2 linked regions of the Styela clava genome follow. The protein of the gene in region 2 purifies or fractionates together with the protein of the main gene of each other region. This does not show direct contact. Links are inferred from orthologs where the notes say so. Each region holds a gene or a part of one and is shown on either strand. Other genes may lie near its edges.

What was found.
Region 1: the proteins of intraflagellar transport protein 140 homolog (region 2) and intraflagellar transport protein 43 homolog purify together in Homo sapiens (affinity purification with mass spectrometry; 3 studies listed by BioGRID and IntAct, counting the BioPlex papers as one, with this or other methods). This does not show direct contact. The link is inferred for Styela clava from reciprocal best matches to the Homo sapiens genes IFT140 and IFT43.

Annotation. Positions count from the first base shown.
Region 1 is NC_135254.1:1,980,702-1,984,635, reverse strand, and holds intraflagellar transport protein 43 homolog, read right to left. Parts: upstream 2,835-3,934; 5' UTR 2,800-2,834; coding exon 2,458-2,799; intron 1,317-2,457; coding exon 1,041-1,316; 3' UTR 469-1,040; downstream 1-468. UniProt on the Homo sapiens protein: As a component of IFT complex A (IFT-A), a complex required for retrograde ciliary transport and entry into cilia of G protein-coupled receptors (GPCRs), it is involved in ciliogenesis.
Region 2 is NC_135262.1:5,589,765-5,593,698, reverse strand, and holds the start of intraflagellar transport protein 140 homolog, read right to left. Parts: upstream 2,705-3,934; 5' UTR 2,694-2,704; coding exon 2,547-2,693; intron 2,012-2,546; coding exon 1,906-2,011; intron 1,697-1,905; coding exon 1,575-1,696; intron 854-1,574; coding exon 720-853; intron 135-719; coding exon 1-134. UniProt on the Homo sapiens protein: Component of the IFT complex A (IFT-A), a complex required for retrograde ciliary transport and entry into cilia of G protein-coupled receptors (GPCRs).

The sequences.
Region 1 (3,934 bases), on a different chromosome or scaffold from region 2:
CGTAACCCAAGGTTGCCGTGACAACACGCTGTTTGAAATCCATTGAATATGAAACACTTTTTTAGTAAGCTATAAAAATTCAGACTCTGTTTAGACTGGAGGTTAGGATAGGATTTTCATTTTACTACAGTAGGAGAGGAAAGTTGATGAGTCATCCTTTTCCATGGCTTCTCGTTCTTTCACCAGTTTATATAGACCGGGGGTGCAACATTTTTTTGGCGGGCAATATAACTAATTTCAGACATCTAGCTGGACTAGAGGTAAGATTGGGTCCCAAAATTCCAGCCTGACCTGACCCAGGCCCGTGGGTATTGAACCTGACCCGACCCCGACTAATTACGGTGACTAAATTTGCAGGCCCGAGCCAAAAATTTCATATTTAGGAGTTCTTTGAATTGTCATTGCGAGAGTTCATTTAGAACAGTATGTGTCGTGTTGATGAGGTTTTTTACAGACCATTGTCTCTCGTGGCCAAAACGCCTCACTTAAAAAAAAGTCAGCGGTAGAGAAGCCCGACCCAAACGTAATGATTGACAGGTCCGACCCGGGCTTCAGATCTTAGTTCTAATCTGGGCTCAACAAAAATTCAGTGTTTCCATTTACACAACGAATTAAAAAATCCCAAAGCGAAAAAATATGAAATTTCTGAAACCCCATCGTCATAGGCCAAGGCTCGTGGGGAACTGATACAATTCTATTCCGTAAATATAACTGAGAGTGGGATTCCTTAAAAAATAGTTGACGTATCATTATAAAGTGTTTTATATGCTTCGGAATCAGAGTTTCCACACATGAAGGTCAAGAAATCAGGAACCCGTAATTTTTAACCCGTTCATTAAAAAAGAAGTGTTACATTATAGGCATTTAACAAAAAGAAAATCAAAAAAAATATTTGGGGGTGAAGGGGTGGGTGAGAGAGATATGGGTTGAAAACCACTGCTCTTTAAGTAAAAATACATTCGAGACTATTTTTATTACTGAAGATGACTAAGCACGTTTCAAAGTAACTCAGCAAACAAATCACCAACCATGACTAAGCATTAAATCAGTTTATCATTAGTCGCTGTTGTTGAGGAATTATTTTTCTGTCTTAAGGCTCCTGATATTTGTGCGAATAATATATCCCAATCCCATGTCTCGTCTGGTTCGTCGATGCCAGTTGTCATGTGTTTCGCAAGAAGTTTGAGATCGATTTCATTGTCTAGAAGTGTGAAGGTCGAATGTCGTTGAAGGTCACTGTCAAGTTCACGATACGTAGCGACTTGATTCATCGCAACTGAAGGTGGGGCAGCCATTTGTTGTGCGATATCTTCATTCTGTGGAAATTATGAAAATGTTAGTGGCTGGCTAAACCCAAAGTTTTTTTGAGGTGGATGAATGGGGGGTAAAAATCAGAAATATTGTGATGTCATAATAATATGCCATGTCATAAAAAAGTTGGTGGCTGCTTTCAGTGGCATACCCAGGATTTCATCTAGAGAGAGGTGAAAGTTTATGATGTCATAGATATTATTATGCCCTGAAAATGTGTGTCTGTATTCAGTAGTAGACATGATTTCATTTTTCATTCATTGTCTGGGGGGTTGTTTCATTTCAAAAATTCGCTGGGGTTGTTTCATTTCAAAAATTTGCTATGTCGGTGATATTGCATTGAGCAACATCATGCAATGAATTAAAAGAATGAGAGAAATGGGGCAGCGAAGGGGTCATCATTGAACCCCTGACGTTTCAACATTTGTGATAACCCCACGTTTTTAAATATTTAAACTTTCATACATTTATAAGTGTTTTTAAGTAATAAGGATATTTTGTACAAAGTCAAAACGAGAATATCGGTCGGAGACCGAAGACTTATCGATCGAAACTGCAGTTTCAATTCATGACTCTATAGTGACACCACGTGTCCCACTAATTAATTAATAACTCGCTAATTACACGGCAGAATTCATCCAAAATCAATAGGCTTCTAGTCCGAGATATGACGAATGCACATGCAAAATATGGAGGAGATTCAACTCTGCTTTCGAGAGATATCGCGTAACATACAAAGTGTCTAACAGACAAACACACAAATACCTATCAACATACTAACCGATCTCAAGATCTATGAGTAACAAACAACCGGCCAATGCTCAAATAAAAACTTACTAATTATCCAGTCGGGGCTAGGAGTGCAGATTGTGCAGAAAATTTGAATTATTCCTAACACCAACTCGATAATTACTAATTTGTTATTTGAAAACATGGATAAGGTGTTTTTCTCAAATCTCACATTTTCGTATTATTGGTGGGGGATTTATACAAAAAATACAATATCGTAATTGTTAACAGGGGCACCGTGATAAGCCCCAATAGCATATCAAGATGTCATGGGCCCCAATCGCTTATCAAGGGGTTCCATGAAAGTTGAAAATCACTTCCCTAATATTAAAACCACACCATTAAAAACTGGGTTACCTGAACATCGTCCAAATCAGGTATTACTTGGAGATCATCGCCTTCTTCGTCTGAGGAGTGAATTCGTGTTCTAGGGGAATCCCCTGTTACTAACAATCTAGAATCCTCCACCCCCTTATTACGGTCACGTTTATTATCGGCATCCCCCCAGCCCGCCATTCGTCTTGACGGCCGGGGAGGGGAATCAGCCCCAATTTCTTTGAGTTGAGATTTTGGAGCGATTTCTTTCGGAACTACACTTTCTTTTTCGTTTGTGTTCAGTGATGCATTAGATTTAGTCGACTTCGCTCTACGCCCAGTTTTTGCTTGACTCTTTTTGCCGATGCCGAAATCAAAATCCATTTTTATATTTTAAATATTTAAAATTTTAAGGTATAAAGTCTGTTCAGAAATACAAAACATGAAGCTTATAAGTAGTGGGCAAAATTTTTAGAACGGGTTCGCTTTTGTCTAGAACTCACTAACAACAGGTTCCCTCATTTCAGGAGACCCTACAAATCGTGACATGTTGTATGCACTTATAACAGCAGGTGGTTGCGGAAAATAATTATTTCTTAGTTTCTTTTTTATGTTAATATTTTAACCTTCTGGCGACCGGGAACTTTTCAAGTTCCTGAGGTCATCAATTGATAGAAAGTACTTTACGTAAGATGTGAGCTGTTCCAAGAAGAACGTTTTTTTGGAGCTGTTCTGCATTAATTTTTCCTGAAATATATTAGACATATTTTTCAAATTCTCTTCCGATAAGTCCAACCGCCCCCACCACTACCGGTATTGTTGAAGTTTTGAGTCCCCACATCTTTTGTATCTCGATCTCTAGATCTTTGTATTTTGAGAGTTTTTCAAATATTTTTTAGAGTTGTTTCTTTCGGATGGTATAGCCACATCAATTATTTTTATTAAGAACCATTATTGTTATGTTTTACTTTATTATTAATAACGATGAGAAATGTCTCAAAATCCTATCACTATCAAACTTTTCAGTGCGATTATTTGGCGCGGCGGTGTGGCTCAACGTTAGGAATACGCTCGCCACCGCACCTCTAACTACTCTGCGTGGGTTCGCAGTTCGAACCCCATGCAGGGATGGTTATGTACGAGAGGATTGCTGGACTCCTTGCCGTCGTTGGGTGGTTCACGTAACCGCTGGTCGGTTACGGCTTCCTCCACCACCAAGTCCATGCTTCCGAAACAAACAATATAGTAAATCTAATCCCATACCCGACTTGGAATGGTAACCGGGCGAGAGGCCGTGGTTCGCCATATGGATAAGCCGTCTTATCGGCTTTCCTCTCCCCGGGATAAATATGTAAATCCTATCCGCCCGCTTTTTTGGGATATTTATATTTCTTTATTGTTTACCTATTTATTTATTATGTACACCGTATTTTCAATTTTTTAAATAAAGCACACAGACGAGCGTATTCCAGCGCTTAGCACGACGTGACACACCATCGAGCCATTTGTTTGTGTATTT
Region 2 (3,934 bases):
CAAAGTAAAAAGAAAGTCCGTCGGCAACACTTGGCATTTGTAGTTTTGAACCTTTCTTCGTATCCAAAGTTGCAAAAAGGTCGAGTGCTTTCTCATCACCACTTACAGCCGCACGAGCAAGACTTGCAATTTTGCTATTAAAATAGATAATACAATAGTTTGTATGATTGATATCTCATTCAATGAAGTATATGAATATAGGGGAGCATTTAGCTACCATACCTCATGACTTTTGTCAGTATTCCAGTAGTATTTTATAAGAATACAAAAATAACAGATGAAATAATTCACAATTTTACTCAAAACAAAGTACTATATCAGTAGCCACTTGGACCTATAAGTTACAAGAGGTGTAAAATGGGCAGAACTTCCCAGTTCGGCATGTCTTTCATATTGGGTGATGTGGAAGACTTGGGTTGAATACTCGTTTAACTAAGTACCGGTAGGTTCAAATCGAGTATCCTTTTTATACCACACCAATATCTCCGATCGAACACCGGACAATTTCTACCACTTTCCAACTAAAAAATTTAGTATACTATTGTCCCACAAGATAACATTATATCATTTTACTTCACTTGGTGCTACTATAGCGTGAAAATTACTACTCATGGTTTAAAAAAGCATTGAATTAATCCAAATATCTTTAAAATTAGAAATGAAACTACTGCAGTATTTAGGCAAACTGTAAAATAACAAAATTCAATCCCACTGTCCACCTCATGATGTTTTCATTGCTAGATGATGTTGGTGTTATACATTGAGTGACTTCAGCTCCAATTTCAAACCTACAAACAGGATTGTGTTGAATTCTTCCACGATCATCAGCTCGCCACACAGCTGCTACACCAACCTAAAATTGAATATACACATACCTACGGTACTAACTTTTTTTTGCAAGTACAATATTATAAAAGATCGATGACAATGAAGAAAGTATGCAAGCAACATTGTCCCATCATTTGCTAGCACCGTTTTGACTGGAATTTCGCCTGTAGGAGAGTTTTTCAATTTTCAATCATTACTATCAACAGACTTTGAACTTAAATCGATAATACGATAAAATTCAATATGTGATAGGGATATACATATTGGCACATTACATACATATAATCTTGTCACTAAAATGCAACTCAATTTAACAGTTTTGCCTAAGAATATGACTAATGTAATTCCAAAGATTCTGAATTATACAATACAAAATAGATGCTGTGAAAAGTCTACATTAAATGATCAAATTGAAAGATGGACTGAAGAGGGAAATCAATTGACCAATTTCTTATTACTGCTTTCAACCAACAAGCCAATAAAGGAAGTAATAAAGCAATTTCCCAAATTTCCACAATGTTGAACATTATACCTCTCATGTTTTCAAGTAACTTAATAAGAAAATATATGAATTTTTGAACACATATATTTTAAGTTTAGTAATATTTTCTTATATGTGTCGTACTATAAGAAAACAAATTATTATTGGTATATTATAAGAAATAAAAACAACTTGTTGTTTTTGAAGAAAAAATCAACTATTACATTCAGTAATATACACAACTCTTTATATATTGTCAAGCTACCTTGTCACCAGATGCCAGTCTTGAACCATTAGTTGACCAGCATATTGAAGTGATAGCTTGAGTATGCAGTGTAGGTACTTCATGCGTCTCATCATTGTGTCCATTATAAATCACAAGTTCACCTGATGATTGCAAAAATCAATGTTTTTATCATCAAAAATTTGGTCAAAAATACTTTCTCAGCATCTACATTTTTGAATATTTAACAGTTTTATCTCCATCGATATGATGATTTAAAAATGACTTCGACTGCCAGCACTTTTTCTTCACTGTTTTATACAAATATATTAAGTTATTTTAAGAAAGGATATAAAAATATGAATAATATTACCATTTTCCCAACCAACTGCAAGTATATTTTTAATTGGATGCCAGGAACATATAGTTGGTTGACACGATCTTTGAATTGCGTGCTCTTTTGATGTTTTCTTTTCTCCCTATAATTTGAACAAAATATTGAAATAAAAACTTTTTATATTTGGGTAGGGTGGATTTTGAAACAATATATCTCAATATATTGTGGAATATATGGTTAAAAGGAGATGGATTCAGTTAATATATAATGAAGTCCAGACTCAGTCAAAGTTACCGTCAGAGATATGGATTCAGAGCCTGGAGACTGGCTTTAGTATGTTTCACCAAAATTGGAGCCAGTTTCCTTTTCTTATCAGTCTATTAACAGCTTGCATAACCAGAGTTTTTGATATCAGAATTGGATTTTCTATTTTTTCTAAAAAAGAGTTGAGAGTTAGAATATTTTATGTCTGAGCCAAATTTTTTTTAACCTGAGGGACGAAGTTGATCGCATCCCTCGTTATCAAAATATACAAGAATATCAAGATTGGAAATGCACATATCAATTCCATTTTGGATTATGAACCTGGGTAAAAAAAATGTGAAAATTTGAAAAGATTAAAATTATGCTATACATTGATATATATTGTCTCAAAGATAGGCATCAAAAACTCTCACCTCTGCATTGAATATATCCACGAAGCCAGCACCGGCCCCAGGAGATGCAGAACATACTGCAAAATGACCTGATACTTTCTGCCAAGCCGAATGAACAGTTACATTTCCAGAAGGTGTGTTTAATGCCCGGTCAAAATAAAGAGCCATAATATTATAAATCTAAAGTTTTATGAAAATCAAAGAATTTGAATGTTTTTAAACAAATTTCATCAATATAAAATGCTCAAATTCTGCAAATCAGGGGTATCTTTTAAATACTGGAATATCACAATACCATATACAGTCCGACAGTCAGCCAACCAAATACAGAAATACTTTAAAATAATATCCTAATTCCTAACAGTGTGGTTATTTTGAAATACCTAGTTCAGTATTAAATTAAATAGGAACTATTCGTTATTTCTATTATTTTATTTTTATTAAGACATAGACCAGTGGGGTGTCATGTAGTTTCCTACCTAACATACTTCTAGCGGGCGTAGTACAACAATTTTTTCATGTGTCAATCCTAACCCCCACCTGATTACGCCATCCAAATATTACGTCCATAGGACGTCACAGTGACGTAATAGAGACCTTCAAACTATACGAACTGTCATCCAAGACGCGCACGTCTGCGCACCCGAAATCGAGCGGCTATTTCTCTCGTTTTTACATCGCGACGATTCCAATATAAGAGAGATCGCTGACGTTAGTAAGTTCTTTATCGTCGGCGCCGATGCCATTTCGGGCGATAGTACGTATATTTAACAAGCTCTATGACGTGATTGTGATGTTGTAGTGATGTAATTTTTGGATGGCATAGTCTGGTGGGGGTTAGGATTGACATGTCGAAAAATTGTGATGCTACGCCCACTGAAAGTATGTTAGGTAAGAAACTACACGAGACCCGACCAGTGGTTCTGAACCTTTTTCAAGCAACTCAAATAAAAAAAAAAAAGATTGTAAAACATGTACCGTAAAATCTCAAGACCTAAGGATATGCTCAAATACTAACAGACTAACCGGTGTGTGTGGTACTTTCAGACTTTTATGGCGCAAAATGAAATGAACAAACACAATCCTTTTTACAAAACATTTACTTTTCCAGAAATTACGCCTGAGTCAGTACGGAAAGTCTGAAAGTGAGAAAATTGTGCGGGTATCTATGCCATCACTGAATTTTTAAAATCAATCCAGTATAGTCATTCTTACATCGTACTAAAAATCCGGGCTATCTCCAATAACCATACCCTCGCATCAAAACGTCACGGACGCACCAAAAGGATCATCTTCACCAGCTCAACGACTGGCAGACCCCACCGCCCCAACAACAACAAAACAACTAACAACTGCTGTCGCAAAATTTCTGAATTATCAGTCAGCTATTCCCACGCATGACTAATCAC